4 linked regions of the Notamacropus eugenii genome follow. The protein of the gene in region 2 purifies or fractionates together with the protein of the main gene of each other region. This does not show direct contact. Links are inferred from orthologs where the notes say so. Each region holds a gene or a part of one and is shown on either strand. Other genes may lie near its edges. The genes, in order: KDR, SHC1, AP2A2 and INPPL1.

Region 1 (7,962 bases), on a different chromosome or scaffold from region 2:
AAAAAAAATCCATAAAACATTTTTTAGAAAAACCTCATTAGGTTGAGAAACAAAAATTGGCCTTTTGAAATGAGTACTTTGATATGAAAAGCAATCCATTCTATAGGTGCACATTTTGGAGCAAGGTAATGAAAGTGGGGAGGGGGGGAGGAGGGAAAGGGCATCAAAAAAAAAGAAAAAAGAAAGAAAGAAAGAAAGAAAGAAAGAAAGAAAGAAAGGAAGAAAGAAAGAAAGAAAGAAAGAAAGGAAGAAAGAAAGAAAGAAAAACACCAAAGATAAACTCAGTTGATCAAAGTTATTCCATATCATTGCAAACTACTGCCCATGTAGAAATCACCTAGGCAGTGCTGGAAAATAAAAAGAGATAAATACAACTCAAAAGTAATTAATCCAAGAAAAAAACAGCAGTTGAGTCTAGGTTATCTTTCTCATTCGACAACTTCATTGCTACCAAATACAATATAGAGATTTCGCTTATTAACATAATAATTTAATTAATGTAAATTCTTGTCTCTGTTACAATAGGCAGTCATTTCGGAGATCATTGGTTATATATTTACATTTTCAAGACAAATTCTAGAATAAGAAATGCTCGTATCATTACTCAAAGCTGCTTCTATTTGCAAAGCTTATAAGCAATGTTAATTAATTAATCCTTCTGTTACCCTTCCCTGCTCCAACTCAGAAGGAAAGACAATAGTGCTTCTGTGTGAAGAAATTGAAGGCAACAATTATGAACCAATGCTACTATTGGAATCAAATCCTCCCCAAAAGCTCCCTCCCTACTGTTTGGAGGGCAAGGTGGCTCCCATCACTGAGAAGGGCCCCTTCGTGAAGAGCTAAGTTTTTTCCTCCGGTTTTAAAGAGATTCACTTCTTTCTGGAATCCAAACACCCCATACATTTTCTGGACCCTAGACCTGGAAGCTAAATATAATGGGTTGGGGGGAGTGAGGAGTGAGGGTGCCTTAGCAACACACAGAGCCATTTGACCTAGTTCTCAGGCTTGAAGAGCCCAATAATTACAAGGTAAATGCAATCAATGTAGACAGACAATCTGGATAATTAAGGGAGAGGAATCTTTTCTTTGAAAAATAAAAAAAATACTTCCCCCCCCCCCCCAAACTCCCCAGTTGCAGGAATTATCTAGATAATTGCTTCAGCTGTCTGGATCCCTTTGCCTCAATGTAAACACAGAAGTACCTTTTTACTTTCTAGAAATCGATAAAGTGTGGCTGCAGGGAAAACAACATTCCCAGCGTGTGTGTCTGTGAGAGCCCCAAAGGAGGTTAAAGCCTCGAGCTTCTATGTAATCTTAATCTTGCGGAAAATGCGGTTTAGGAGCCAAGAAGGGGCAACTGGCATGGAAGGTGCCTATTCCTGTGGGGCCGATTTTCGGGTTCATACTTCAAACAAAGGGATCTAAGCCTTGGAGAGGCGGCGCTTTGACAAAGCGATAAATGCTTTGCAAGTGCAAAGTCCGCATAGAAGGGGAGAGTAGCTGGAGATGCCCGTGCCCAAGGAGGCTGCCCGAGGTTCTGCGTTGCCCAGAAGTTCCCGCAGTCTCCCCGCTCCTCCAGCAAAGGACCAGGGCTCCTTCTCGCAGCAAAGACCCCACGGCAGCCAGGAGAAAAGATCCTGCTTCCTCAAACGTCCCGGGGCGTGAGGGGGTGGGGTTGCGAGGCAGGCTGGGACTCCTCAAATAGATTTCTGTCCCGCTTTCCGAGGCCCAATGGCTCTTCTGGAAAGTTTCCCGCAACTGTTAGTGACTATGCCTGCAGTCCAGAACCTGAGTGTTGAGACGTACCTATCCCTCGCACACCACCCCCCACCCTCCGACCCTACCTGTCTTTGGTCTTAGGCGTCTCTTAAGTACCTGACTGCAGCAGTGGACTGGGAGTCAGATAAGCATCCCAGATCCGCTACTTCCTTCCTAGCTGTGCTTCCCAGGGCAAATGACTTCCCTGTTCTGGGCCTCAGTTTCCTTACTTATAAAATACAGGGTTTGGTTGGAGTAGATTGGAGACAGAGTGGCATCATTATAATTTGTAATCTGGAAGACCTGGGTTAGAATTACTGTTCTGACATTAGCTAGCACTGTGACCATAGCTTAGCCAGGTAATCTCTCTGAGCCTTTCTGTTTGTAAAATGAGTAGCACTTACCTCCTCACATGACTGTTAGGAGACTCAAATGAGAAGATATATATATAGATAGATATATAGTACTTTGAAAACTTCGAAGCGCTAAATAAAGGCCAGGTATTATTGTTAGTTGACGAGCCCCAAGGCCCCTTCCAGCTCTGGGCTTGTTTGCCAGGCTGTGCGTCCCCCTGCCACCTCTTAATCCTTTCCGGGCGCCAGGTTTTGACCAGATGAAACCTTAGCTTCTCGATTCTGCGACAGCAAAAGGCAAGATTGGTTTTGACTTGGTTTTCTCTCGCCTTCTTAAGAGGCCCCCATTCGCTGGCCTAGCCCCCGGCTTTTCCCTCCAGACTGACTCCCGCGTGCCCAGGGTTCCTTACCTGAAACCAGCAGGCTTTTCCCAATGAGCCACAAGAGGACCAGAAGCATTCGGGCGCTTTCCATTCTTTAGCTCTGGCAGGACGCAGGCTCCAGCATCCAGATGCTCCAGCGCCGGCTCCTGTCCTGGGGGCTTTCTTTCCCGGTTACTGGCTCGATGGGAGCCACTCCCCCGCCTCCAGTACCAGGAGCTGCCAGTCAGGGCGGGAGGGAGGGCGAAGGCGCCGGGTGCAGATGCCTCCGGCTTGTGCCCGGGCTGGTGCCCCTCACTGGCGCCAGAGGAAAGCACTGCTCACTTAGAGTGAAGACTCCTTGGCCCCCCAGAGAACTTGATCTGACTCAGGGAAGGATTCTGGGTTCGCGAAGGAGTACGAGTGATGGAAGAAGTAGAGAGAGGGAATGGACCGGCCTGACCCAGCTTTGCGTTCCTGGGGGCCTGCCCGGGAATCTGTGCTGGGTCAGCCCCTCCACCAACTCCTCTTGTGAGCACTTGGGGCGGAGCTGTCCTTTACAGTTGGCCAGACCCGCCCCGTCCCGCCCATTCCCACGCCTTGTTCCTCTACCTAGCCCAGGCTAAGATTTAACTGGACCTAATGGAGACCGGTCCCAGATAACTCCGTGCTTTCGGATAGGCCCAATGCAGAGTACATTTTCCAGTCTCTGATCCCTGCTTTGGCCTCCAAAAGGTGTCCCCGTTGCACTAACCAACAGATGAAGCAGGGGCATAGGGGAAAGTGCCCTGACTTAAGAGTTGGAGAGTCTGGCTATTTACCTGTGTGACTCCTAGCAAAGCCCTTCTCCTCTTGGTTTCAAAGCTAAAATGAGGATGATGGACTAGCTAATCTAAAATTCCCTCAGGTTTTAAATGTTTTCATTATTTTTTCTTAATGTATAAGGCATTGGATCTGGAGTCCCTGGGGATTCCTTTGGCTGCCTCTCCCTCTTGGAGACACTGAGGTGATAGGCACCGGGTGAGATGGTCTGAGTGGTTTCCATAAGTTGTGAATTAACACCTAGAATCCCTTGGCAATCTTCCCTATGTGAGTCCTAACTACTGTTCCTATGAGGTTAGGGAAGCCAAGAGAAATCTGGAGAAGGATAGTCTCTGCCTAGACTGGGAGGGTAAATTCATTCCAAGAGAGACATTTAAATACAGTAAGGGAGGACTTCCAAACTCATACAGGCACAGGAGGCATCCTAGCAAAGGAGCATCTCTGTGACTGGGGCTAGAGAGGGGAGGATGCCCACCTAGCTCAACCATAACTAAGATTGTGGCTGCAACTCAAATCAAGTTCCCATTATATGAGAGCCTTCATCCTACAATAATGAGCAGGGGGATCCTGCCTTGGATGAAGGCACCTCAGTTCTTAGAAATGCCCATTTCTGGGATGCCACCCCCTCTGCCAGGCATCGTTAGAAACTTGAAGTTTCTATAGAACCAACTATGCCCAAAATGCTTTCCTAGCATCTCCAGTATTTGCGTGGTTCAGGGTTCTGGTCTTCTCTGAATCCATCTCACCTACTTGCTGTCCACTTTGCGACTGAACCCAGATTTGGAAATAGTGATTTGATTCAGTCTGTGAGCCTCCTATCTTTCCTACCTTTCTGGGGCACAAGGGTGTTTTAGGTGGGAGGGGCAGAAAAGGATCTTTGAACACATTTCTTTTTGTTCCAGTTCCCTTCTTGCTGTCCTTGATTTTTATCCAGTTTCCTTCATAACTCAGGAATCACATCGAGCTTACGCTGAGCTCAGTTACAGAATCTGGCAAATTCCCAAGTTCCTTGCCTCCTTGGAAGATGTAGGCGTTTTATTTTTTTTTTCATCAGCGAGAGTGCCTACAAGATACTGGGGAAGCATACAGAAACTTCATCATACTATAAGTAGAACAATACAAATCCTAACACTTTAAAGAATTGCAATTAACCTCATGATTTAGATCCTATCCCTCCCCCCCAAGACTCTTCATCCCATCTTTGCCTGAATTAATCAGACAGTGGCATTGTAAGAAATGAGGTAAAGAAAGGGGGAAGAGGTCTTCTTACCTGATTATTTCCTGATATTTATTCAACCCTCCATTTGGCTGGCCCGATGCCTGAGGCACCTCTTTTTAAAAATGAATGAATCATTTTTATTTTTAAAAAGTTTTCCTTAAAGATAAAACTATTACCTTGCCCCATCCCAACACACACACACACACACACACACACACACACACACACACACCTACCCTAAATAAAATTTATGAAATTAAAACCGATAGATGATGAGTCAGATGAAGGAAGAACTAGGTGGACATGGCCCTGGGAGATGCTTTCCCTATCTCCTAAATAATTCTCACCTCCTGGTCCTAGTTATTCTCTCCCTTTCCACCACATGCCAATCAAAGACTGATAGAATTTGAAAACTTAAAGAAACCTTTGGGGTGGTTTAGGTCAGTGGTGACATTTGAAAACGAATAGTACATACATGTGAGAAATATTCTGCGCTCGTTCTGATGGTCTGTATGCTCTTATAGGGACACAGAGACTTCTTGCAATAATTCCTTGGTCCCCAAGGGGCCACGGTTCACTATCTGGGGAACACTAGTCTAGGCTAACCATTCCTCTTCCACTTTAGGGATGAATAAACAGGCTGGGAGAGATTCGCTAAATAATTTGCCCAAAGTCACACAGCAAGTTATGACAAAACTGAGTAGATATAGGTCTACTAACTTCCAGGCCAGGACCCCAGAAGTTCACACCATGCTGTTGCTCTCCACCATTTTTGTCCAGTCAAAGAAGTCAGCTCCTTTGCATATAAACCAGAAACTTCAGTCTCATGAAAATAGCCATTTTGAAAAAAGATGAAATAATGACTCCAATGATAGCAAGGCCAGAAATGCCAGGGATCACACTGAAGTTGTTCTGCCATACCCAGTGTCCCATATCACTTTAAAATGCCCAGTTTTCACCACTTTGAAAAAGTCTGAAAAAAAATGTTATCTTGTCAAACTTTGATTTTTCTACTTTTCTGTCCTTATTTAATGCACTGTTGTAATAGAGCGTAATAACAATGGCACATATACTTCAAATGGTTAACCATTGACCTCAAGTGACACTTGCTGAAAATATGAATTGATCATGATGGAGATGGTTCATTTCTACAATGCATCCATTCCTCCATGCTACTGCACATGCAGTCTCACCTTTTGTTATGTGAAAGAGGGCTTATTGGAGCAGAAAGGCATTGGATCCAAATGGAGGATAAGTGATTAAAATATGTTTTGTATAAATTACATGTAACATATGTTATATATGTTTCATAAATTTCATATAAACTATAAACAAATTTTGAGAATGGAAGGAGATGTTTTCCACAACTCTGGTTAGGGGGCAAATTCTTAACCAGAAAATAGACATGATCTTAAAAAACTAATAGACCATTTTGATTATATAAAATTGAGAACCCTTTACATAATAAATCAATGTAGCTAGAATAAGAAGAGATGCTGTTGACTAGGGGAAACCCTTGTAGAAATTCTTAAAGGTCTGATATATGATACGTAGAGAACCAATGGAAATATACTGTAAAAAGAGGCATTTCCTAATAGGTGAGTAGACAAAGGATATGAACAGGCAACTTTCTTTTTTAAAAATAAATTATTATTACAAGCATTTATTATCTCTCCTTCCAATAAAAGCAAAAAATTATTATAACAAATAGGCAGAGTTCAGCAAAATGCATTCTCACATTGGTCACACCCAAAAATGTATGTCTCATTCTACATTTTAAGTGTATGACCTCTCTCTCAAAAGGCAGGTAGCTTATTTCAGTTTTAGTCCTCTGGACTTCATCAGAGTTCTCAAATCTTTAGGAATTATTTTTTAAAAACATTGTTGTCATTGTATGAGTTGTTCTCTTGGTTCTGCTAACTTCATTCTGCATCAGTTCATAGAGATCTTCCAAGATGCTTCTGAAATTGCCCATTTTGTCATTTCTTACGGCACAAAGGTAGTCTATTACATTCACGTACATAACTTGTGTACCAGGTGGATATCTCTTTAGTTTCCAGTTCTTTGCTACTACATTAAAAGGTGCTACAATATTTTTATATGCATTGGTCCTTTTCTTCTTCCTTCGATCTTAGGTACAGTGAACAAGCAATTTTGAAAAGAAGAAATGCAAGCTATCAGTACATAGAAAGATGTTCCAAATCGCTAGTAATAAGGGAAATTCAAATGGAAGCAATGCTAAGGGTCAAGCTACACCTATCAGCTTAGCAAAGATAACTGATGAAAGTAGTAAATGCTGGAATTGTCAACTGGTTTAACATTGTGGAAAACAATTTGGAACTATGCTAGAAAAGTTATTAAACTGTATGTACCCTTTGACACAGTGAGACCACTACTGGCTACTCCTTTACAAAGGAGGTAAAAGTTCAATAGTTATTTTTTTATAGCAGCACTTTTTGTTGTTCCAAAAAAAAATGGAAATAAAATGGATGCCCATCATTAGAAGAACGGTTGAACAAATTGTAAATGGAATGGAATGTTATTTCATCAAGAAATAATGAATATAAAGAATTTAGACTAACTTGGAAAATCTTCCATTAACTAATATAGAGTAAAATAGGCAGCATCAAGAGAACAACTCAGACAATAACCTTAACATTGAAGAACTGAATGTTTGGAAACAGCATTGACTAAGCACTCAGTATAGACAAGGCATTGGTCTAAGCATAGGGAATACTAACTGAAAAGCAAGTCAGTTCCTGCTTTCAAGAAACTCACTCCTGTTCTAATGGGGAAGACAACACATAGAAGATATTTCAGCTACAAATCAGATGGAAAGCGCCTAGCTAAATGATGCAGTGGATAGAGTGCCAGACCCGGAGTCAGAAAGACCTGAGTTCGAATCCAGCCTCAGACACTTACTAAATATATGACCCGGGGCAAGTCACTTAACCCTGTTTGCCTCCATTTTCTCTTCTGTAAAATGAGCTGGAGAAGGAAATGGCAAACCAATATAGCATCTTTGCCAAGAAAATCCCAGATAGTCACGAAGAGTCGGACACTTCTGAAACAAGCCAACAAAGACATAGTCCTTAGAGTATATTGGACCCTGATTACTCTCCCTCATATTCAGTTCTGTTTTCATCATCATTATTTTGGATTCGACCAACAAGTATTTATTGCATGCCTCGTTTATAGCATATAGCTTATAGCTTAGCACATAGTTTATAGTTCAGCATATATTTATAATTTATATACTTAGGATACAAAGACAAAAATGTAACAGTCCCTGGCCTCCAGGAACTTAAATTCTATTGTGGAAAGTGATATATTCACAACCAGAAACTAAATATTCAGGCTTACTTACTTAAAAATCAGATGCCATCCAAGCTTTCTAGGATCACTGACATGAAGCATTATTCTAATATGATTTCTGTTAGTCTATTTTACC
Region 2 (7,245 bases):
AGCAACAAGTGCGGGGCTAGGGATGTTCAGGCATGACCCATCCCAGCCATCCCAGGCTCCCTGGAAATAGCACCCACTGGGCAAGGGAAGCTTCAAGTGCCCTCAATGACCACAGAACTAGTAATTGGAGAAGGAACCCCTGACCCACCCTACCAGATTCCCACTTACCTCTCTGATTGACAGGATCTTTGGCAACATAGGCAACATACTCAGCAGTGTCCTAGGGGATCAGGTTCCGAGTCGGGGTAAGATCAGCCAGCATGGCTTTACATGTTCCCCACCAGCCCACAAAAACCTCTTTATTCCCCCCCCACCTCTACCCAATCATTCTGGGTCACCTCAATCCAGAGTCACTCCATTTTTCCCCAGCCACCATCTCTTTTTACCATAACTCACCGGATCCCCACCGGATGCAAATGAGATTGACTGCATGTGGTGATTGGCAATGATCTGAGAATTTGGGGTGGTGGGGTAGTGTTAGCAATTCCACTTTGACTCACATTCTTCACTCCTTAGTATTCTCTGTCCTACTAACTCCCTTATTTCTTTCTGTCCCATCCCCTGGTCCCTTCCACCAGGGGCCCTCTAACTATCTCCACCCAGATACCCAGTTCTTCCCTCACTTTCTCCCCTTGAGTTTCTCTGACTTCTCTTCACTGGCTAGACTGTTTCCCTCTCCCCAACCCCCCCAGGCACAACAAACCTGTTTACAGTCTGCAGCCATGAGATTGAGGCTGCTGGTAGAAACAGTCAGGGTGATAGGCATGCCAGCAAACTTTAGATTACTCCTCCCCAGTATGGAGCTGAGTGGGCGGCTACAGGGCTAATAAGAAAGGATCCACAGAAAATTTGGGGGTTAAAGGCTACAGGCCTACCCCTAAAGCCCCAATTTCTATATCCAGAAACCCATCTCCCCTCCATTGCTCCTGGCTTCCCCTCCGTCTCTCCTCCCATCTACTACTCTCCACAACAATGCTCCCCAGGTACCTTTCTCCTTCGTGCAGCCCCCTTGGCTCCTGGCACAGCCTCACACACCAGACTGATGGCTTCTCTGAGAAGACAAAGACTTGCTTAGAAGCAAAGATTTCCCTGGGCCCCAACATAGGTCTAAGGGAGGGGAAGCCAGGGACAGACTCCAGGGGCACTCTGAGCTCTTTGTAGTGGCTGATTGAATTAAGGGCCTTTAATATTTGATGATACTAAGGAGCTGCCTGCTGGTTGATTGGATTAGGGCCTCTGAGCCCAGTGATGGACCCAGTCACTTCCCCTTAACCTCAACCCTTCTAGTCACCAAATACTAATTTTCCCTGAAACCATGCTCCCACCCTTCAGGGTCTTTGTAATCTTATGGGCTGGCACACAGTAAGCCCAGCCAAAGTTCATTGACTCAAGTGCGTGCCTCCTCCATTCCAAGGCTGAAAAGGCAGAGGGGAACCTAGATCTTCCACTGGGCTCCCTTAAGTGCCCCATCCCTCAGTAATAATGCTCTTCCTGTGCTATCATGACCACAGAGCCCCAGGAGCTCACTAACTGCTATGAGCCCCAGCAACACTGACTGGCCCCCATGCCCCCAGACAGACACCACTTACCTGGTAACCTGGGTGCGAGTACTGAAATCCAAGGCCCGCATCGACTGGAGGACCTCCACACAACCCATGTACTGAGGGAGGGGGAGGGAGGGAAAAGTGGAGCATTTGACCTCTGCCAACTACTATCAGCACCACCCTCAACACACATGCACACAAAAGACCCCCCAGGATTTTCTCCTATATTAATTCCAGAATGTGAACGCCTACCCACTGACTATGCTTGGTATCTGAATGTAGAACACCCCTGGTCCCAGTGTAGAGGGAGAGAAGAAGAGGTTAGAGAAACAGTCTATGTAAAGTAATGGGGAAAGAGAAATCTTTAGGTGCTGGGAAAAGACCAGAATGATATGGAGGAAGAGAACAGGAAATAAGAATGTCTGCACAAGAATTAGGGGAAAAAAAGCAGGGGGGAAACAGAAAGGAATGGGAAATAGCAGCATTTGGGGCAGGGAACAGGACAGGTAGGAAGTAATACATGGAGGGACCTGAAGAGGGAATTTGGCACATAAAGAAAACATAAAATCCAGCAAAACAAGGGACTTACAAGGGTCTCAGGCAAAAGAAGACTACATGGGGATTGAGGGGAGGAATATTTGAGAATACGGACATACTCACTCACCCGAACAAGGTAGGAAACCCCAGGTCCCATGACCTTGTCGTTGGGATGTAACCAACCCCGAGTTGGCTTGTTGACAAAGCTCCCGTGACGAGTCCACTCCTCACCCCCCAGCTGGCCCCCTTCCACCCGAGTCCTCCGCCCGCCGCTCAGTTTGTTCATGTCCTGGAGAAGAGGTGAAGGGCCTGAGTCCGGCCCAGTGCCCCCTGCATTTCCTTCCCTATCCTCAGGTCCTTGTCCTGACTCTTCAGAGGGACCGAGCCGCCCCCCAGTTGGGTTGGCTAGCTTCAAATTGCTCATCCGAGGGAAAAAAGAGCAAAGGGTTGTAGGACTATCATCCACCAGCACTGGGGGCAAGATGGGTCCCAAGGAAGAGGCAGATGGTGAGGATAGCTCCCCAGGGGATAAGGATCCCAGAGTCCCCTCTTCCAATGAAGACAGAGATTCATTCCTAAGAGGGTTGTACTTGGGCTTGGGGGGCAGGAGATCCATGGCTAGAGGAGAAAGGAAACTGCTGTCCAGCCCGGCCCTCCCCCCAGCCAGGGTAAGGGGGCCGGGCTGGGGGCATTCCCAGACCCTTAGTCTGATCTGCTATATACAGGCAGATAGTCACAGAACCCTTGCAGAGAAGACCACCACTCCCCCAGCTCAGATCCAGACAAGCCCTAGCTCCAACCCCGCCTAGCATGAAGCCTCTTTTCTAGCTGTAGAAGAGAGAGCTGGACCAGGAACAGTTTGGCTCCTCCCCAGGGGAGGAGAGTTAGTAAGTGGAGGCCAATCAGGAGGACAGTGCTGACTCACAGGCACAGAAGGGGCAGAGCCCCCCACCTCTACCCCACCCAAGGCCTCAAATCCTAAGGGAGGGAATCTCTGTGGCCCTCCCATTTCCACATATCCACCCACCCCCCCTCTTCCCAACCAAGCATAATCAGGAATGGGGAAAAGGGAAGGGATGATGAGAAGAGAGAACAGATCTGAAAGTCTAATGCCTGACTGCGAAGGGGGAGGAGAAGACAGGAAGCCAGGGCAGTGGGGAAGGAAAGAGAGAAAGACAGGGAAAGGGGGCAATCCCTGACTTATTTCCCTTTCCCACCCCAGTTAAAAATTCTGGCAACCTTGCCGTGGGGAGAAGATCCCCAGGGAACCTCAAGGCCATTAGCTAAAACTGCCATAACAGCTGGAGATATAGTAGAAAGAAAATCTCTCTGTGCTGTCTGGGAAACAGGGAAGGAAAGAAAGATAGGAAGGGGTTGCTAAGCAAAGGGGCAAGATGAGCAGAGAGCCAAGAGAGACTGAAAGAGCCAGGGAGCAAGGCCAAACCAGTGCATTGGTAGAGCCAGCCCAACAAGGCCTCTGAAGGAAGCATGTGGGATCCTGGAGAGCTTGGGACTGTAAAGAAAGAAGGCAGGTGAGATGAGTCTCACCTTTTAAGCCTCTCCACATGACATAAGGGAAGTGAGCCAGCCACAAAGACAGTCCAGCCCCCACCTGTACTACCTAGGGCATTACTGGGGGAGTTCAGCTGTCAGTTTCCTCCCAAGATGATGTTTCAACCAAGAGAGCATCACTTGGAAGGTGGGCAAGGCTCTGTTCTCCCGAGTCCAAACGTTAGGACACATCACTACCCAACAATTCTCCTGTCCGTGGGGTTCCTCTCCCTTTGTATATGGGCACTTACCCATTCCATGAAGATCACAGGAAAGGAAAATCCATTACTGACCACAGGATCCTAATTATCCTAATCCTAGAGGTCTATGCTCTCTCTGATTCCAAAGCTAGGCTTCCAGACTCCTCCCCATAGCCACCAGGCACTGATAGTAAAGGCAGATTTAAAAGCAAAGAGGGTCAAAGGCAGCCCCTGGCATCCATGGGCAATGTCTTATACATATATATGGTAATCCAACTGCCACTTCTCTCCCAGTTATCCCTAAATCTCCCTTCTGAGGATGAGTGCCACTCTGAAAAAGGGCTCTACTCCAACCTTCACGCTTCCCCCATATTCTAATCATACAGAAAAGGAGAGTTTGGGGAGTCGGGTTTGAGTCTGGACACAGGAAACAGTCCAAAACTCATTTCCTCCACCCACAAGTTCCTGACTTCCTGCCAAACCAAATGGAAGAGAGGGCAGAAATTCCTACAAAGGCAGACAGCAAAAAAAGACTAGAGGAACTAAATTCAAAATTAAGCCTCAGGTACATTCCTAGCTAGGGAGAGGGGGAAAAGCTTTCTTTCACCTCCTAGGCAAATTGTACTAACAGAAGCAGTGGAAAGAATGGTGGATTTGAAGTCAGAATACCAGGGCTAAAATCCCACTTCTACTTGGCACCTGCAACTTTAGGCAACCTCTCCATGCCTCAGACCCCTCATCTATAAAATGAATGGAAGGGAAGAGGATTGGCTTGGATGGTCTCTAAGGTCTCCTCCTGCTGGGAATCTACGATCCCATAAATGGGGGAGGGGAGAGAAGAGAGAAGGGTTTGTTTCAACTCCTAACTGGGAGAAGAAATTTATCATCCCCATTTCCTCACTCCCCAGGGCTCACTCAGTTCACAGATCACAGAAAAAAAAGAAGACCCAAAAGATAATTACCCCGATATCCTACATACTTTGTGCCAAGACTCTTGTACTGTCTAGAGATACTCACTTTCTTATAGCTTTCACAGTAAGAGAGTAGTGAGCCATATATAACGGAATATTTGGAAAAGAATGTAGAAGAAACTCAGTTCCAGAGAACCAAAAACTAGATGACTTTCAGAGGTTTGGGGTGGGGGTGGGGAATATCTGCTTTCTCTGCCCAGGGGGAGGAGAGTACAGTGGCAGGGAGCAGCCGGAAATGGCAAAAGCCTCAGGAATGTTTCCTGGACTGAAGGTTAGGCAGACATAGAAAAGACGGGGAATACCTAAACAAGAAAACAGGAATGGGGGTTGGAGTAAAGTCTCTAGGGCCAGAGAGCAAAAAGCATCCCCCCACACCTCCCAATTGCAAAATACCCTACTCTTTTAGGGTAGGTAGGGAGAAGTTACCCATTTCACAACCCCATTCCACACACCAGGGAATCCATGGCCCAGCCCAGCTCCTGAGGTACAGGTACGACATGCAGCTGTTTCTGGGGTGGAGCCGGTCCTGGGAAGGGAAACTTAGGGAGTAGATCTGGGAACTCGTGAGGGATTTCCCATCCCTTCTCCCCTACCTCCAAGCCCAACCCACTTCAGGTCATCCCACACCCAAGAATAAAATTAAGGCCCAAAGGGGAGGGAAAGTACAGCCAATCTTCAATCCCTCAGATTTGAGTCAGGGTTAGGAATAATGAGGCAGTAGAAAGAGCCTTTGGCTTACAGTTGGCAAACTTAAGATGATTTCAGCCTCTAATACATAATACTAATGTGATCATGTCACTTAAACTCTCAGAGTTTCAGTTTCCTCATGTGTAAAATGCAAATGAGAAAATTTGCACTGCCTCTCTCAAAGGAATTTAAGGGGATACTGCTATATATCTCATTTATTTAAATTATTACCACAATATGGGGTGGGGGACAGGGACACAGGCACCAGGAACTGAGGAGAAAACCTAGGCTGGATGGAAGGACAGAGTGTGATTGAGAAAGGAAGCCAGGTTTCTGGGTTTGAAGCAGGGACCTTTCAGGTTACAAGGATCGCTTCAGATTTTAATGAGCACCTTAGAAGTATCTCTTGGGAGGTATGGTTTCAGAGAATTATAAAGGGAAAGGTCATCCAAAATATTTTCCAGCTTACTTTTCCAGGCTTAGTGTTTCTCTACTTCACACACTCTGTCTTATAGCCAAATTAATCTGCTTACTATTCTAGTCCACAGCATATCATCTTTCATCTCTGTACCTCTACACAGTACCTTTTGCATCCTTGTAATGCAACCACCTCTGATTCATAAAATGTCTAGGTTCATTTAAAGTTCCACTCAAATGCCACTATCTCCAGGAAGTTTATCCTGATTTCCCCCAGTTGCTAAAGGAAATTATTCTTATGGAAATTACTTTGTGCATAATTTATATTTAATTTTCTACCTGCATGTTGTCTCCTCTCATTAGGAGGCAAGCTCCTTGAAAGTAGGAATTGTTAGGTTTTTGTCTATGCATACGTAGACAAGCACTCTGTGGGACACACAGGGGAGCTTAATAAATTCTTACTGAATTAAATGGAAATGGGCCCCTACTGAATTAAATGGCCAGGGAGGAGAAAGAAATGAGGTATACAGAGGGGTCGTGACCTAATGAAGGGCGGAGTTCCCCAGAATTCTAGAAGGCACTTCGGGGTGGGGTACGGGTAGCCCGGGACTAGCCGTAAAGAATAGTTGGAGGGCCCCCTCTCGGGGTAGGGGCGTTCAGGGAGTGTTAAGATTAAAGAGGGCGTGGTTTCGGGGGGGAGGGATGAGGAAGGCAAAGTTTTCCAAAATAGGGGGCGGGAGGGGGAAACATTTAGGTCGGTGACAACTTTGAGGGGTTCGGGGAGCCCCTGAACTGGGGGCTGGACTTCCGGGGATGGGGTCCCAGAAGGCGGGACTTATGTATGGTTGGCCGGAAGTGGGATTCCAGTGGATTGGGGGGAAGAATATTAAATAAAGATGATAAAAATTTCATACTCACCAGGGCCGCATGGGGTCTCCGCTCCGCGCCGCGGGCCGGTCTCACTCCGGATCTGGCGGCCGCAGCTTCTTAGAGGAGACGCTCCAACTTTCTCCCCCCCCCCCAGGCCCAGCCTCCCCGAAGAAACTTTATTGCACTCACTTCCGGCCTGACTAACCTTTGACCCCTACGCATTACGTGTCTCCTCCTTTCTCCATTTCATTGCCCCGCCCCTCCCGTAGAAGTGCAGGGTGGGGCCCTCAAGTAATGATACCCAATAAGAGCTTGTGTATGGTCTCATGGGCGTATACGAAACATACTGTCTGGCCCTATGGACCAATAAGAACCCGAGGTGGGATAGAGTGAAAACTATAAAAGCCAATAAGCGTCTCAAAGGTGGGCTCTTTTTCCCGCCTCCGATAGAATGAGCCAATTAATTGA
Region 3 (6,817 bases), about 350 Mb from region 2:
TGACCAAAAAGATGGGGAGCCTGCCATCCCTGAAGCCTGAGATCAAAGGGGAACCTCATCTGGACCCCAACCTAATAATGGCTGCCCTTGGCAGGCTTCACGTGAGGCTGAAAGGTAAGAAAGGTAAGAAAACACCATCTTTCCTTGAAAAGCTCCTCCCCTCCCTGCCAGCCTGCCACTCTCTGCCAGAGGAACTCTCAAGTGCGGCCATTCACTCATTTCCCAAAGAGACATTAAGCACCCCAGAGTGACCAGTGGCCAAGCTTCCGTAAACTCGCAAAATAATCCAAGTGATCCTCCTTTTTAAAAAGCTGAGTCTCTAGCTTCACCCCAAACACCCAGAGTTCCAAGACCAATATGGGAAAATGAGTCAGGGTATTCCTGCCCCAGACACAAGGGGCAACAGGACCCTGCCAGCTTCAGAGCCGCTGCTCACCAGTCCAGGCGCCCTATTGCTTTGAAGGCATCAGCTCTGACAAAGCTTCCAAACTCTGAGAATCTGGCAAAAGAGGTCCGACAAAGCACTCTGAATGTTACTGGGCCATCTCAAGACTCACTGCCCACATCAGGCCCAAAATGTTTTCACCTGGACCTATTTGGGGAGCCTGGTGATCCTGGCTACTCTGATTAAGGGGCCTTTAGACTCCCAAAAACTTTGATTTCTAAGCCCATGTCTACACATGCCTGCCACAGAATGCTGACACAACCTCCTTATTGAGGGGTTCAACAGGAGAGGCTGCTTTGGTTTTCTTGTTGGAAAGGACCCTAAAGACAGCCCTCTGCACCCTAAAGAACGTGAGGACCCTCTCTCCAGCTCAGAGTGGAAATTGTCCAGTGCATGATGTTTCTTCCATTAGAAAGAACAAAACACACTGCACACACACTAAGCATTCAAATGCTTTTTCGTTCATTCATTCATTCATTCAAAAAAAAAAACCAACTGGTCTCTTTTTGGGGGGAAGAGAAGGTAGGTCCAATATCTGGTCATCTCCTAACTAAATGGATAGCTTGGACTGCAGAAATGTAAGGGAAGACAAAGAGGAAAGGGAAGGTCACAGGGCACTCAGCCCCACAAGGGGCACACAGACCCTCAGAGGGCACACAGGCGCACAGAGCTTGGGGGGGAGGCACTCAGACCCTCAGGTGCCACACAAGCCACACAGGGCATACAGAGCTTGGGGTGGGGAGGCACTCAGACCCTCAGGGGATACACAGGGCATACAGAGCTTGGGGGGGGCACTCAGACCCTCAGGGGATACACAGGGCACACAGACCATCTAGGCTAGACCTCAGGAAGAACAATGACAGGAATTCCTCATGTGGCAGGAATGGGGAGGGGGGGCACAGAGACTCCAAACTAGGGAACCTCCAGCCAAATGAGGCCAGAGCTTCCCTGAAGGAGGGCCACGGTACATGATCATTGACAAGGAACCAATCACCAGGCAGACCCAGTGAATACAGTCCTCCCTCTGTGTGCTGATGTGAGAAGGCCAGCTGGGTGCACTCAGCAGCCCCCAGGTGAGGGGGCACAGGGGATATGCCCCAGGCGCCCGCGGAAGCTCAGCCCTGGGGAGCTTACAACGCACAGGTGTAATTAGGGCTGCGGGAGGGAAGCTGGCCGGGCTTTGGAGGGGGCTGAGCCACAGAGACCCCCCAGCCTGGCATCTGGAGGGTGTGTCTCGGTTTTCAAGAATAAGGAAATGAGGTCTGCCCCTGATCCCCGAATCCTCCAAAGGCAGCGACGGCCCAGGGGGCGTGCCCGGGCCCTGGGCATCGCAGGAAGGCTCCGGGGTGCTGGACAATGGCCAGGACCTCCCTGGCCCGGGATCGGCGGCGGCCGGCTGCCTTGGGCCGGCCCGGGGACAGCTCCGCGGGTCAAGGCCAGCCCGGAGCTCGGCACCCCCCCATTGGGGAGCGGCTCCCCGTTCTTGGCCAAGGGCGGCCGGATGTCCAGGCAGGGACCCCCAACACAATCCCAGCCCGCAGGGGGGCTGGGTCCGAGGCTTCGGGGAGGTGGGAAACTGAGGCCTCCCTCCTAAGCAATTGAAATGAATGAGCCACACAGACCTGTCACTGCCCCCTCTCCGCGTCCGGAGGGCCCGGGGCCCCAGGAACCCCGGGCGGGGGGAGGGGGGCTGGCGGGAGGGGCGGGAGGCCGCGGCCGGCCCTGGATGCCCCCCCACTCCCCCCGGGGGGACGCCCGGGCCTGGCCCCGCCCGAGCTGGAGCACCGCGGGGAGGTGGGGAGCACCGCGGGGGGGAGGGCAGCACAGCGGGGGGGAGGGGAGCACAGCGGGGGGAGGGGAGCACCGCGGGGGGGGGGGGAGGGGAGCACAGCGGGGGGGAGGGGAGCACAGCGGGGGGGGGAGGGGAGCACCGCGGGGGGGAAGGGAGCACCGCGGGGGGAGGGCAGCACCGCGGGGGGGAGGGGAGCACAGCGGGGGGGGAGGGCAGCACCGCGGGGGGGAGGGGAGCACCGCGGGGGGAGGGCAGCACAGCGGGGGGGGGAGGGCAGCACAGCGGGGGGGGGGGGAGGGCAGCACAGCGGGGGGAGGGGAGCACAGCGGGGGGGGGAGGGCAGCACAGCGGGGGGGGAGGGGAGCACCGCGGGGGGGAGGGGAGCACCGCGGGGGGGAGGGGAGCACCGCGGGGGGGAGGGGAGCACCGCGGGGGGAGGGGAGCAGCGCCGGGCCGTCCCCAGGCCTTCCCAGTGGCCGCAGCTCGGGCGGGGGCCCGGGGGGGGGGGGGAACACGCAGTCCGGCTCCCTCCCCTTCCCCCCCGCACTCACAGTTGCGGATGTCCGAGATGAACACGGCCAGGCCCCGCATCCCGTCGCCCTTGGACACGGCCGGCATGATGGCGGCGGGGGCTCCGGCCCGGCTCCGGCTCCGGCCTGGGGTTCCCTCCGGGTCTCCGCCGCCTCTGCTTCAGTCTGTCTCTCCCCCGCAGGAGCTGGAGCAGCAGCAGCACGCGCGCCCCCGGTCACGCTCGCCCCGCCCAGACGTGCGCGTGTCCGCACGCACGCACACGGGCGCCAGCACGCCGTGCCCGCGCCCTTGGGAGCTCGCGAGCGCCCCCTCCAGGTCGGAGGAAGCAGCGTGGGGGCCCGACGGGCGGGGGAGCGGCGAGTCAGGGCGCATGCGCCGGCCTGCGCTGGTCTCAGGAGGCAGCCAGCCCTTAGAGCAGGGTGCGAGCTTGTCTTTGCAGGGAAGCGCGTGGGACTCGCTAAGCTTATTGTCAGCATCCTAGCCAGATGCAGGCTGCACTCAGCGGCCCCCAGGCTTCGGTGAATCTTCGGACAGACTCCCCTCCTTGGACTTCAAAGGCCTCTGGCCCGGTCCACCCTGGGCCACCCTTGGCCACCTTGGGCCACCTTGGGCCATTTTGGGCCACCCTTGGCCACCCTTGGCCACCTTGGGCCACCCTTGGGCCAGTGGGCAGGAGCTCAGGCCAAGGCACAGACCATGAAGGAAGGCTTCCTGTGTGTCAGGCACTGGGGACATAGCCAAGCCAGGCCCAGGTTCAGGCTCTGGCCCAGAGTCAGGTCTGGGGAGCACAGGTCCAACGCCCCGTAAGGGGCAGCAGCCCCTGGGGCAGAGAAGGGAGGGGGGCCTGCATTAATGGGACAGGCTCATTGCCTTCCACAATGGTGACCCAGCCAGAAACTCCTGCCCTCCAGCTAAGATGACTGGGGCACTGACAGCACAAGGGGTATAAATCCAAGGTGAGAGACACATAGCAGCTCCCCTCAAGGAGGTTCCTTTTTTTTTTTTTTTTAAGGCAGTCAGATTTGACTTGCCCAGGGTCACACAGTTAGGAGGCATCAAGGGTTTGAAGGCAGATTTGAACTCAGATCCTCCTGACTCTAGGGCCTATGCTCTAGCCACTGCACCAGCTAGCTGCCCCAAGGAGCTTGTCTTCCAAGGGGAGGAGGAGGGAGCCGGATGAAGGTGCCCAAGCTACAGAGAGGACTGGAGGAAGGAGGCTGCTGGGCAGGACCTTCCTCAAAATGGAGACTTGGGAAAATGTGGTCCATGGGGAGAGGGGCCAAGGCCTCCCAGGCTCTATGAGTCCTCTCTCAGCTCTCTTAGAGAAGTTTCAGTGGGCCTCTAACCTCTTACATCTCCAACTGAATGAGGGCATCATAGACCACTGGTACAGCCTTCAGGTCTTCTCTGTGGCCTACCACAGAGAACGGAAATCCCTGGCCCTGGCATTCTCCTCCCTCCATGATTTAGCTCCACCCATGCTTCCCAGCTTTAATCATGAAGACTTTAAGGTTGGCAAAGCATTTGCAAATATCTCAGTGGATCCTTCAAGAGAAGTGCTATAGATGCTCATGTTACAGATGAAGAAACTGAGGCAGGGAGGCAGAAGATAAGTGACCTACCCAGGGCCAGGTCCAGCATTCTATGCCCTGTGGTGCCCCTAGCCTGGAATGAGCTAACTTTGCTCTCTTTGACTTCAGTCAGGAAGCTGGGGTTCAGACCATCTGTCAGCCAATAAACATTTCTTAAACGCCTACTCCATAGCTAAACAGCAATGTCTCCCCCCAAGAGAGATTTCACACAGAGGTCCTGCCAACCCAATATGCATGTGTTCACTGCCCCCTCTGAGCCAAGCCCTGTGCCACAGGCTAGGAGAACCAAGACAGAATGAAAGTCCCAACTTGCAGGAACCTGACATTCTCCTAAAGGAAGAGGCTGGTGCCCATGATTGTAAATTGGCAGCAACTAGTAGGATGAGTCTAGTCAGGTCAACAAGCATTTAAGTGCCTACTATGTGCCAGGAGCTGTATATATAGACCACAAGGGATGCCAAGAAAGGCAGAATGGCCTCTGCTGTCAAGGGACTGTGAGCTAATCATGGAGAGACCACATGCAGAGTGAGGTACAAACCAGCTCTAAACTGGATGGATCTGAGACACTCAAGCAACGAGGAAAGCACCAACAGGCCAGTTCCAGCTGAAACTTGATGAGAGGAGCCAGGAGGCAAAGACCCAGGCAGGTGGCACAGGCAAGGCAAATACCTGTAGTCCGGAAATGGAGGGTCTTGTTTAAGAAACAGTGAGGAGGCCAGTGTCGCTGGCTAGCTTTGTGTGCTGAGCATGCTGCATGGCACATAGTAGGCACTTAATCAATGTTGATTGCCTATTTAATAACTGATAAGTACATGGATAAGGTTGTCAGAAGACTGGAAGCGGGGAAGGCGAGTTAGGGGAGGAAATACTTTCAAAGCCAAGTGGAGGGTTTTATTTTTACTCCTAGAGGTGATAGGGAGCCCCTGAAGCTTCCTCCACAGGATGGGTGACAAGAATCAGACAGTCAAGGATGGACCAGGAAGGGCCTCCTATGGACTGGAGCCATGAGCAAGGGAAGAGACGAGGGGACAGCCCTGCAAAGGCACAATGTCCTGCTGTTGTTCCAACTTCCTTTGGATAAGGACCAGTGACCTCACGGGGTGATGTCTTCCCTGCTCCTGAATTGGATGTAAGTGAGACAGGATGGTACAAAGTCCTGACAAGGCTCCAAGCACTCCATGGCGCCCCCCTCAGTCGCCTTCATGGCTGCGGAACCAATTGTTTTCATCTACCCATTCTGCTGGGAGAAGACTTCACCTGCTTGGAGGAGACACCCCCTAACTCACGGATGGGTTTGAGACCCCTCAGTTCCCTCAACCTGGTTTAGCCCATGTGCCCAGATGATTTTACCAGGTGTGACCACTACACACGCTCCAGCTTCTGGGAGCCACTGGTGGACACCAAAGGTAGATGAGCAGCCCTCACCCCAGAGGGGCTTGTCCTGCCTAAACACCCCATACGTACTGTGTACACACACACACACACACACACACACACACACACACACACACACACACACACACACACACACACACCTGGAAGCCACAGGTGACATTTGGGTGTCAGGGGGACACCAAAGGTGGATGAGCAGCCCTGAGAAGTGCCCAGTAGCCCTCATGCCACGGAGGCTGGTCCCCTCTGAACACCCCATACACCCCACAATGTCCTGTATGTTCAGTGATGACTGTGCCAATTTGGCTGAATGTCAGGTATGGGGAGGACTTGAGTGAAAAAAGCCTGGAAGGCCAGATTGGAATCAGACTGGCAAGGGCTTCCAAAGTCAAACAGGGGAGTTTGCATTTTTCTCTGAAGGCCATAGGGAGCCACAGATGATTCCTGAATCCAGGCTTTCAGGCACAGTGCTGAGTAGGGACTGGAGCTGGGAAAGGCTAGAGGCATGGGTGTCAGCTACCTGGCAAGGACACAAGTCCTTGAGTTCCTCTGCTGCTTTACCCAGCCTTCTCCTTGGGAAGGGCAGAGGCCTCCTCCTCTCAGGCTTCATCCCCTTCCTTTCCCTGGGCAGCTCCTCTGCAGGAGAAGTAAACTCTCTGAGGCCAGGGACCTGGTCAAACTGTTCCCTGACTATCCCAGGGCTTTTCCCAAGGTCACAGCATTGGAAAGTGTCTAAGGTCACATTTCAACTCAGGCCTTCCTGATTGTAGGACCATCTCCCTACCCACTGTACCACCCAGCTGCCTCAGGAATCTGAGGAATTGTCTTCAGGTTCCTCTGGCTGCTGCCCATCTGCCTTTCTTCCCTAGGCCTCAATTTCTACTCTGTAAATGAGGGTGTGGACAGAAGGCTGGACATGGAACTCGGCTCAGCTTCTGGAGTGCACAAAGTCTCTTCCTCTGTGCTGGGCCTGGTTCCTTCTCTGTAAGAGGAGGCTCAGTTTGAGTTCCCAGGGGTCCTTTCCACTCACTGAGTCAGCGCCTGGCCAGAAGCTGGTGGGCTGCC
Region 4 (7,986 bases), on a different chromosome or scaffold from region 2:
ACCAGCTGCACCTTTAGCACTCTACCCTAGCCTGTTTTGCCTGAAGTTCCACCACTGAAAGGCTTCTTTTAAATAAGGCCTTGATGATCCCTTGGCAACTTTGCAATTACCCTTGGGAGGTGGGGTATATTTAATGATTCCCAGCTCTGCTCATCAACACCACCAGGTTATAAGGAAGAATAAAGAAGTGGGGCTGAGATTTTGATTTCTAAGTGCCCCCTCCCCCACCAAATGAGCTACTAGGCAGTGGGGGAGGGGAGGAAGGCAGTGACTGGGGCAAACCAAAGCTACAGTTTATGTGAGTGGTATGAGGGGAAAGAAAAATGGATTTGGGGATAGTTCCCTCAGATTTTACATCATTAAGAAGAAAGGATTGCAATAGATGGCTTCTAAGTTCCCTTCCAATTCGAAATTGATGATCCCTTGGGAAAGATGGGAGCAGAGAAGTGGAGATCAGATGTATAGAGTCTTTAGGAGTTCCCCAGTCCTTAGCACCTGCCTGAACTAGATCAAAATGTAATTAGGAAATATTTAACAAAATAAAAATGTAATGAAACATTACATTTTAAAACTTGACATGTGCCCTGCAGGGGTCCTTCTGTACACATTAGGGGTCCACTTTTATTTCAGTTTGACACCATCTCCCTATTCCACCTCAGTTTAAACCCCATAACAATGTTCTCCCTCTTCACATGTTCCTCTTCCTTTGGAGATGATTAAAGCAATGAGTTCAACAAATCTGGAATGAGCAAAAGAGTTTCTGGGACCTAGAAGTAAAGAGGGGCTTTCCAGAGTCAACATTCTGATGGTAGGATTTCAGAGCTGAATAGAACTTCTTTTGTTATTGGCCAGCACTTGGGATTTCATTGGTTCTGGAACTCAGGTTTCTCTACAATTATAATTTGTAGGGGGGAATAAGTTACTTGTTCACTTGGGTTCCATAGCAAGTAGGGACTTTATACCAACTGTCAACTCTGAAAAATAAAACAAAACCAAAGAGTTCACAGAGGTTATAAGCAAAAAGTTTTCTTTATACTGTTGGAGAAAGAAAAGTAGACAGGGCTGCCAGTGTCTAGAACTGAGGAGACCCAAGGCAGCAAAGCCACGTCTTGATACATATAAGTGTGACAAGACAAAGAACCAAACAATGAGGGGTCACCTTATCAGTGAGGGATAGCAGCAGCAACGAGGCACGTTTATGCCAGGAAAAAAGTATATTCATAGCAAGGCTTCATGACTCGAACACGGTTCCTGCAGGTGCTTTGTGAGAGCTCATTGATCACCTAGGGCTGATTTGAGCCATTTTTACGATTTAGCTGCATCAGAGTTCATCTAGAACGTAAGGGCAAAGTATTGTTGTTATGTTCAGGGTTCAGCTTGCTTGTTGGGCTTTGGATCTGGGAAACATGGTATCTCCTAAGAGTAAAAGGAGAGGGGTGGTCTTGGCATGGGGATCCTGACATTTCCCTCTTTCTGCAAAAGGGAAGGGAGTCTAAAAGAAACTCTCCCACTCTGGCCAAGACAGGAGAGGCCAACTGGGCCAGGAGGAGATGGTGAGTTGAGGGACAGCTGAGGGCTTAGGTTGGTGAGCTTGGGAGTTAAGGTGGCAAATCCATCAATTTATTAGCCCCTCCCCTTTAGCAATGATGGAGGAAGGATAAAGAATGGCATTTCTATCCCAGGAGGTTAGTTTCTTGAGGAACCTATCAGGGAAGTCCATACTAGGTGTCTTTGAGAAACTCCCAATAGGGGAAAGTGCATAAGCAGATAAAGCAATAGGTCTTGTTCAGCCAATGTCTATTACCAGCAGAGAAAAGGAGGGAGAAGCCAAGAACACAGAGGGAGAAAATGCCAACACATGCTTACATCAAGGCCTTGGTGGTTGGACATGTAAGAAAAGGGAACAGGAAAAAATTGGGACTCAGCCCTTGTCTGGAATCTTGGGACAGCTGTCTTATCTGCGTGTCTGTACCAGAGGAGCCTTGAGGTCCCTGGACAGTTCTGCCATCCACTCAAGAGCAGGGGTCTTTCTTCAGATGATCCAGGAGTCCACATGCACAAATCTGGCAGCTGTAGGAGTAGTCAGAAGGACCTGGTAGGGGCCCTTAGATTGAGGGGGTGGAGTGAACAGGTGTAATTTCCTGAGTTCAGAAAATGAGGTGTAGTATTTCCCAGATGTCTGTAACATGGAAATAATGACTGATTGATCAGTAGAGGTCTAGTTTTCAGTAAGACATATGGGTTGCTTGAGTTGTACAATTGTTAGAAAACTCTTTGTATCAATCTTTGGGTCTGAGTTTCCGGTCAGCATAACCTAGGTCCTTGTTTAAGGGTCTTTAAATAGCAAGTAGAGTCCAATTACAGATCAAAGTCTTTAAAGGGTTTACAGTGTACTAGTCCCTCAGTGCCTGGTTCTTTGTCTAGATACTAAATGTATCAAGGTTTAGCTTCAATGCCTTGGGTCTCCTTCATTCTAGAGTAGAATAAAGAAATCTTTTGGCTTATAACCTCTGTGAGCTCTTTGGTTTTATTTTATTTTTTTTTCAGAGTTGACAGTTGGTATAAAGCTTTTGCTATAACTTCTGTGCGTCTTCTGTCAGAATTGACAGTTGGTGTAATAACTTGCGGCTCTCTGGTTTATTTTATTTTTCAGAGTTAACAGTTGCTGTACAACCTCTCTGCACTCTTTGGTATTTTCAGAGGTAACAGTTGGTGCATAACCTCTGTGGCTCTTTGGTAATTTATTTTCAGAGTTTAAGAGGTTATGTATGGCTATTTACCATATTAGAAATTAAAACATATTTTAAAATTGTTTACTAATTTAGTTAGAAGTCACATCCATTAGGTGTTAACACAAATAATATCTTAATGAAAAATGTTTTCCATATTTTTGCAAATGTCTTTTAAGTTCTGACTTAATAGGAGGCAGCTGGATTTTCATTTTGTAAGCGTGAAAAGAAAATTCGGTCTCAGGAAGACAATGTAGTTGGAAAAGGGAGGAGTATTTTAGTAGTAGCGTCTCAGTATTACGAAAATAGTTTTGACCTCAAGGACTCCCTGAAAAGTTCCCAGGGTTCTCTAGCCTTAGAAAAACATTGATTTAGTCCAATTCCATCACTTAACATATAAAGGAAACACAGCAACACTTAGGATTTGAACCTAGGAAACCAGGCTCCTGCTTTCCAGAGCATCTCCGGCTCCTAAACCGTCCTCCGGTTGAGAATCGATAGTCTGGGTCCTCATACCAACTTTAATGCCCAGTTTCCTAATTTCCAAGCGAAAAATCCTTTGAAAACAAAGTGGTTGTGGCAGAGGTAGGGTTGGGTAGCGAGTGAGAGGGTCGGTGGGAGACTGAAAGTTTAAAAGTAGGAAAAGATTTAATAAGTTATGCAGCTTTCTGTTCCCTCTAACCCTAGGGCACACAAAGGTGTGTCAGGAGATGGGGGGGCGGTGGCTCCACTACTCCCCGCTTTTATCCAGCGCTAGGAGACGTCCTGGGGGCCGGGCCAGGAAGTTACCACCCCATAGACTGGGCCCCGGGCGATACATTTTTGGCCCGGATCTGCCAGTGTCTTGGACCCAGAAAATAGACTTGAACGGATTGGGGGTGGAGGGTTGGGGACAAAGGAAGCGAAGATGGAGAGGACAGCATGGGAGCCATGGGGAGGGGTAAGGAAGGTAGGAGGGAGACGAGGGGCGATGGAGGGAGCTAGGGAAGGATGGGACGAGATTGGGAAAGATGGAAGGAGACGGGTGAGCCGAGCTGGGGAAGTGGGGAGGGATGGAGTAAGAAGGGGAGGGTGGAGGAAGTCCGAGAAAGCTTGATTTCCCGGGCTCTGGGCTGAATGTGGCAGGAGGCGGGAGGGAAGCAGGAGGCGGGCAGAGGCAAGGCAGAGGGGCGGGTCGGAAGGCTGCGGGTCCGGGACCTGGGCGGAGGAGGGCCGGCTGACGGGGCTGGGGGGTGGCTGACCATCTTAAGTCGGCTGGCATCCCTGGCCCGGCCCTACTACTTCCCGGGGGAAGAGGGTGTGTGAGTGTACTCCCAGGTGGGCGAAGCGCTCCTCGAGCCCAGGCAGGCCCTCCTGGGGAGAGCGGGCTTGGTTTTCAGAGCCTTCCCTTAACTGTGTCTGCGATCCTGGGGCCCCTTTCCCAGGCCCGGGAGAGGCCTCGGGGGCTCCGGGTGGTGGCGGAAGAGGACGGGGAAAGTGCGGGGGGAGGGGAGACTCCGGGGATCCCGAGAGGAAGCTGCGCTGGGCCTTCTCGGGAGGGTTGGGGTTCTCGGAGGGTGTTTGGGGGGCTCGGTACTGTATCCCTGGGGAGATCAGGGGCTGGAGGCTAGGATTCCCGTGTCTGGGTTAACGCTACGGGGTGTTTGGTGCTCGAGCGATTTTGGAGGGTCTTGGGGTGTTTCGGGGGCTCCGGGGTGTGTTGGGAAAGTCCATGAACAAAGTTAGGAGTTCCTCACAGAGTAGAGGTTCTTTTGGGGCATAAAATTGGGAGAGGATCGGGGGGGAAACCTCGGGGATGTGTTTGGGGGTGATCCTTGAGGGCTTTTGGAGAACTCCGATTGGTAATCGTGGGAACTGGGGTGTGTGAACCTCCGGGAATGTGTGTTTTAGGAGGTTCATTGGGCAGAATTTGGGGACCTGGGGGGTCTCTGCAGGGTTTTGGGGATCCCCGAGGGTGTCTTTTGGGGGTCTCTGAACAGTATTTGGGAGTCATGGGGCAGTGCTCCGTGGATCTTGGGGAGCTTTTCAGCATCTGAGATGCCGGGACTGCGAGTATATTTGGGGAGAGTCCCGGGGGTTCTCTGATCGAAGGAGGCGGGGACCCCCGCAGCCCCTCCCTCCCGTCCCATCCAGTCCCCTCCCCCTCGCGGCTCCTCGCTCCCCTCCCCCCTCGGCCTCTGAACAAACTTTTCTTTCTCCTCCAAGTTGCAGACTAACGCCGGGGAGAGAGGAAGGAGCGGAGCGGGAGCCTCCGGAGCCGCCGCCAGCCCCGACGCGGAGCCAGGAGCCCCGGCTCCCCTTCCTCCGCCCCAGGCCCGGGCCATGGCGCCTCCTCTCCGGCCCCGGTGACCGCCCTGCCCGGGCCGGCCGGCCGCGGGGCCCATGGCGTGCGGGGGCCCGAGCTCCGGGGGGCCCGGCGGGGGCGGGGGCGGCGGGGCGGGGCTGGGCAGCCCGGCCCCCGCCTGGTACCACCGCGACCTAAGCCGCGCCGCGGCCGAGGAGCTCCTGGCCCGGGCGGGCCGGGACGGCAGCTTCCTGGTGCGAGACAGCGAGAGCGTGCCCGGAGCCTTCGCCCTCTGCGTGCTGTGAGTCGGGATCAGCGCCCGGGAGGGTGGGGGAGCCCCGAGTGGGCGGCCTAGGTCTGGGGAAGCTGGGCAGGGGAGCGGGACCTCAGGGACTCGGAGCTGCGACGAGCACTGAGGGGAGGGTCTGCCAGTGTGTTGGCAGTCGAGGGCGTCTGAGGCATTCTGTGCCTTGGTCTGTAGGGGGGAGGGCAGCAGCACCTGGGCATGAAGAAGGCCAAGGGTGCGGGATGTATGGGATCCAGTGGCTGTGGAGTGTTTGCGTGCCCTGGAGGGGGTAGTCTTAGGACGTAATGAGACAGCTCCGAGATTCTCTGTGTTTCTGGGGTCGGGTGGGGGCTCAGAGCTGTGTAAAGAAAGGCAGGCAGGTAGGTGCAGAGTGGGATCCTTTGGAGTTCAGCGTGTGTTTATATGGAGACTCAGAAGGAGAATATATGTGTGTTTTACACACTGGGGGCTCGGAGGGTGCGAGTAACACAAGTATGATGGGTTGCAGGAGCAAGTTTGTGCCTGTTGGTTGGGCAGATAATGACATATGTTTGGTCCTGGTATCTGGAATGCCTCTAGGTCCATTAATTCTGGCGAGGTTAGTCATTTCATACTTTTCTGGGTTCACTGAGCGGGACCTGACCCCAGGGTAGCCCTCCCTTTCTTCTCTTACAAGGACCCAGCAGCTGCTTGGACACAATCCCAGCCCCCCAAGTTCCTGGTGAAGCCATACTCCCTTTGCCCTTCCTCCTCCTTCCTCTTCCCCCTGTGTGGAGTAAGACAGCACTGAATAGAATTTGGCTTATTTACAATAAGGAGAGAGTATTGTGAAAATGTAAAAGTCACAGAGATCTCAGAATTGGAGGGTATTTGAGAGTGTGTATTTGTATATGTGTACAGGGCTATATATATGATGAGGTGAATTAGCGTCTAAGGATGAGTTTCTATGTGTATACTTTCTATGAGTGAATGAGAGTGAGAATGTGTACTAGAGCGTGTGGAAGAACAGTTTATAGTCTTGAGCATGAATTTTCATATGCTTGCGTGCTTGTCTGTGAAGGAGATATTAGGGAGTCCACCAACACCTACAGATGTGAGTGGAGAGAATCAAGCAAAAAGTGGTCTTGGCTTTTGGAGAGAGGAGTGCCTTCATCTACCTCTTTTGTTGTCTCTGGCTCCCTTCTTTGTCCCATCTCCCCTGGGGCCTGTTATATTTAGAATGATGGTCAGGCTCTCAATCCCAGGCTTGGTGGGGCTCCTTGGTCTTTGGATTTAGGACTTTGGGTTTCTGGGCTGGGCTTTGGGTTAATGTGGGCACCATTCTCTAGATCTAACGCTGTCACCCTTGGGTTTAACTCTGAGCATGTCTGCCACAAAATCGTTTGGGGAATCTGAGGATGCTGGCTGAGTCCTTCCCCACTCCCTCCCCCCAGCCTCAGCTTTAATCTCTGAGGAGCCTCCATGGAGGCCTGAAAGGCCTGGTCTTTAGTTGTCTCATCTGCATTTCCCTTCATTCTCGTGCCTTGAATATTAGTCTTGAACTGGATGTTTTCCTTGGGTCCCTATTGTGAACTCTTATGTCTTCCCTATAAACTCTTATATTCTGTGTCTTTCCCCATCTTTTCCCTCTTCTATTGTCTGTTGCCTTCTGCCAATAAGGGTGAGATGGGACTCAGTGTGGGCAAGAGACCCTGGGACCTTACTGGACCAGCTGTCTAAATAGGAAGGATCCTGGGAAGAAAGTGCATTAAGTCTACCCTTTCCACCCCCTCCCCAATATTCACTGTTAGGGAGTAGGAATGGAGGGGTATATTCATTCCCCTCTTGAGGAGGTTCCCTCCCCTGTAAGGATCTCTGATTGTTGGGACTTAGGGGTTGACTGGTCAGCTGCTGATGGGGAGTGGGGGACAGCTGTGATTGGGGGTGAGTAGGACTAGACTTGTTGTCACCTAGGACCAAGGAACCAGAGGGGCCCTGAGACTGCCTCAGGGTAGCTCTGTCTGCATGGAGCCTTCAGTCTCCTTGTTTCTATCCTGGATGGAGCCTTAGATGTCTGGGATTATCTGCTCTGCCTGTGTCCTGAGCTGGGAAGTGTTGTGGGGAAAAAGTGGACCAGAAAAAAAAGTGGCCTAACGAATAGTTCTCTAACTTTTCTGACATAGACACCTTCAGCCTTGGTGTCGCAGAGAGGTCAGTTGACCGGGAATTCAGACACCTTAATGTGAGGCTCTCCACATGGCCTTGAACCAGTCCTGTAACCTCTCTGAGTCTTAATTTCCTCATCTGTAAAATGGGTATAATTGTACTAGATGCCCCCAAAAGGTTTTGGTGAGGAAAGCACTTTGAAACTCTGAAATCTATCTGTGTCATAGGTATGAGAACTGTTATGTTTGTAGTGACATGTGAGTGCCCTGACCCACTTTCATGCATACAGCCACCCCAACAGACATACATGGCCATAAGCGGACACAGACCCACAGACACAAACACATGCAGGCAGGATGGATTTGACCAGTCGTTCATGTACATCAGTGTACCCAGGCATATTGACACACACACACACACACACACACACACACACACACACACACACACACACACAGAAATACAGCCAGATGTCAGGTAAACAAAATTGTCAATGCCTTTCCCCCACAAATATACAAACCCTCAGGTGATTTCCAGGAGGG

The links.
Region 1: the proteins of SHC1 (region 2) and KDR purify together in Homo sapiens (affinity purification with western blotting; 3 studies listed by BioGRID and IntAct, with this or other methods). This does not show direct contact. The link is inferred for Notamacropus eugenii from reciprocal best matches to the Homo sapiens genes SHC1 and KDR.
Region 3: the proteins of SHC1 (region 2) and AP2A2 purify together in Homo sapiens (affinity purification with mass spectrometry; 4 studies listed by BioGRID and IntAct, with this or other methods). This does not show direct contact. The link is inferred for Notamacropus eugenii from reciprocal best matches to the Homo sapiens genes SHC1 and AP2A2.
Region 4: the proteins of SHC1 (region 2) and INPPL1 purify together in Homo sapiens (affinity purification with western blotting; 4 studies listed by BioGRID and IntAct, with this or other methods). This does not show direct contact. The link is inferred for Notamacropus eugenii from reciprocal best matches to the Homo sapiens genes SHC1 and INPPL1.

The regions. Positions count from the first base shown.
Region 1 is NC_092877.1:106,551,866-106,559,827, forward strand, and holds the start of KDR (vascular endothelial growth factor receptor 2), read right to left. Parts: upstream 3,004-7,962; 5' UTR 2,586-3,003; coding exon 2,522-2,585; intron 1-2,521. UniProt on the Homo sapiens protein: Tyrosine-protein kinase that acts as a cell-surface receptor for VEGFA, VEGFC and VEGFD. Plays an essential role in the regulation of angiogenesis, vascular development, vascular permeability, and embryonic hematopoiesis.
Region 2 is NC_092873.1:379,060,604-379,067,848, forward strand, and holds the start of SHC1 (SHC-transforming protein 1), read right to left. Parts: upstream 3,010-7,245; 5' UTR 2,698-3,009; coding exon 2,209-2,697; intron 1,661-2,208; coding exon 1,590-1,660; intron 1,052-1,589; coding exon 988-1,051; intron 824-987; coding exon 704-823; intron 451-703; coding exon 397-450; intron 221-396; coding exon 169-220; intron 1-168. Other genes in the region: CKS1B (cyclin-dependent kinases regulatory subunit 1), read left to right, coding at 7,229-7,245. UniProt on the Homo sapiens protein: Signaling adapter that couples activated growth factor receptors to signaling pathways. Participates in a signaling cascade initiated by activated KIT and KITLG/SCF.
Region 3 is NC_092873.1:27,299,249-27,306,065, forward strand, and holds the start of AP2A2 (AP-2 complex subunit alpha-2), read right to left. Parts: upstream 3,005-6,817; 5' UTR 2,856-3,004; coding exon 2,789-2,855; intron 1-2,788. UniProt on the Homo sapiens protein: Component of the adaptor protein complex 2 (AP-2). Adaptor protein complexes function in protein transport via transport vesicles in different membrane traffic pathways.
Region 4 is NC_092876.1:96,908,793-96,916,778, forward strand, and holds the start of INPPL1 (phosphatidylinositol 3,4,5-trisphosphate 5-phosphatase 2), read left to right. Parts: upstream 1-4,980; 5' UTR 4,981-5,111; coding exon 5,112-5,314; intron 5,315-7,986. UniProt on the Homo sapiens protein: Phosphatidylinositol (PtdIns) phosphatase that specifically hydrolyzes the 5-phosphate of phosphatidylinositol-3,4,5-trisphosphate (PtdIns(3,4,5)P3) to produce PtdIns(3,4)P2, thereby negatively regulating the PI3K (phosphoinositide 3-kinase) pathways.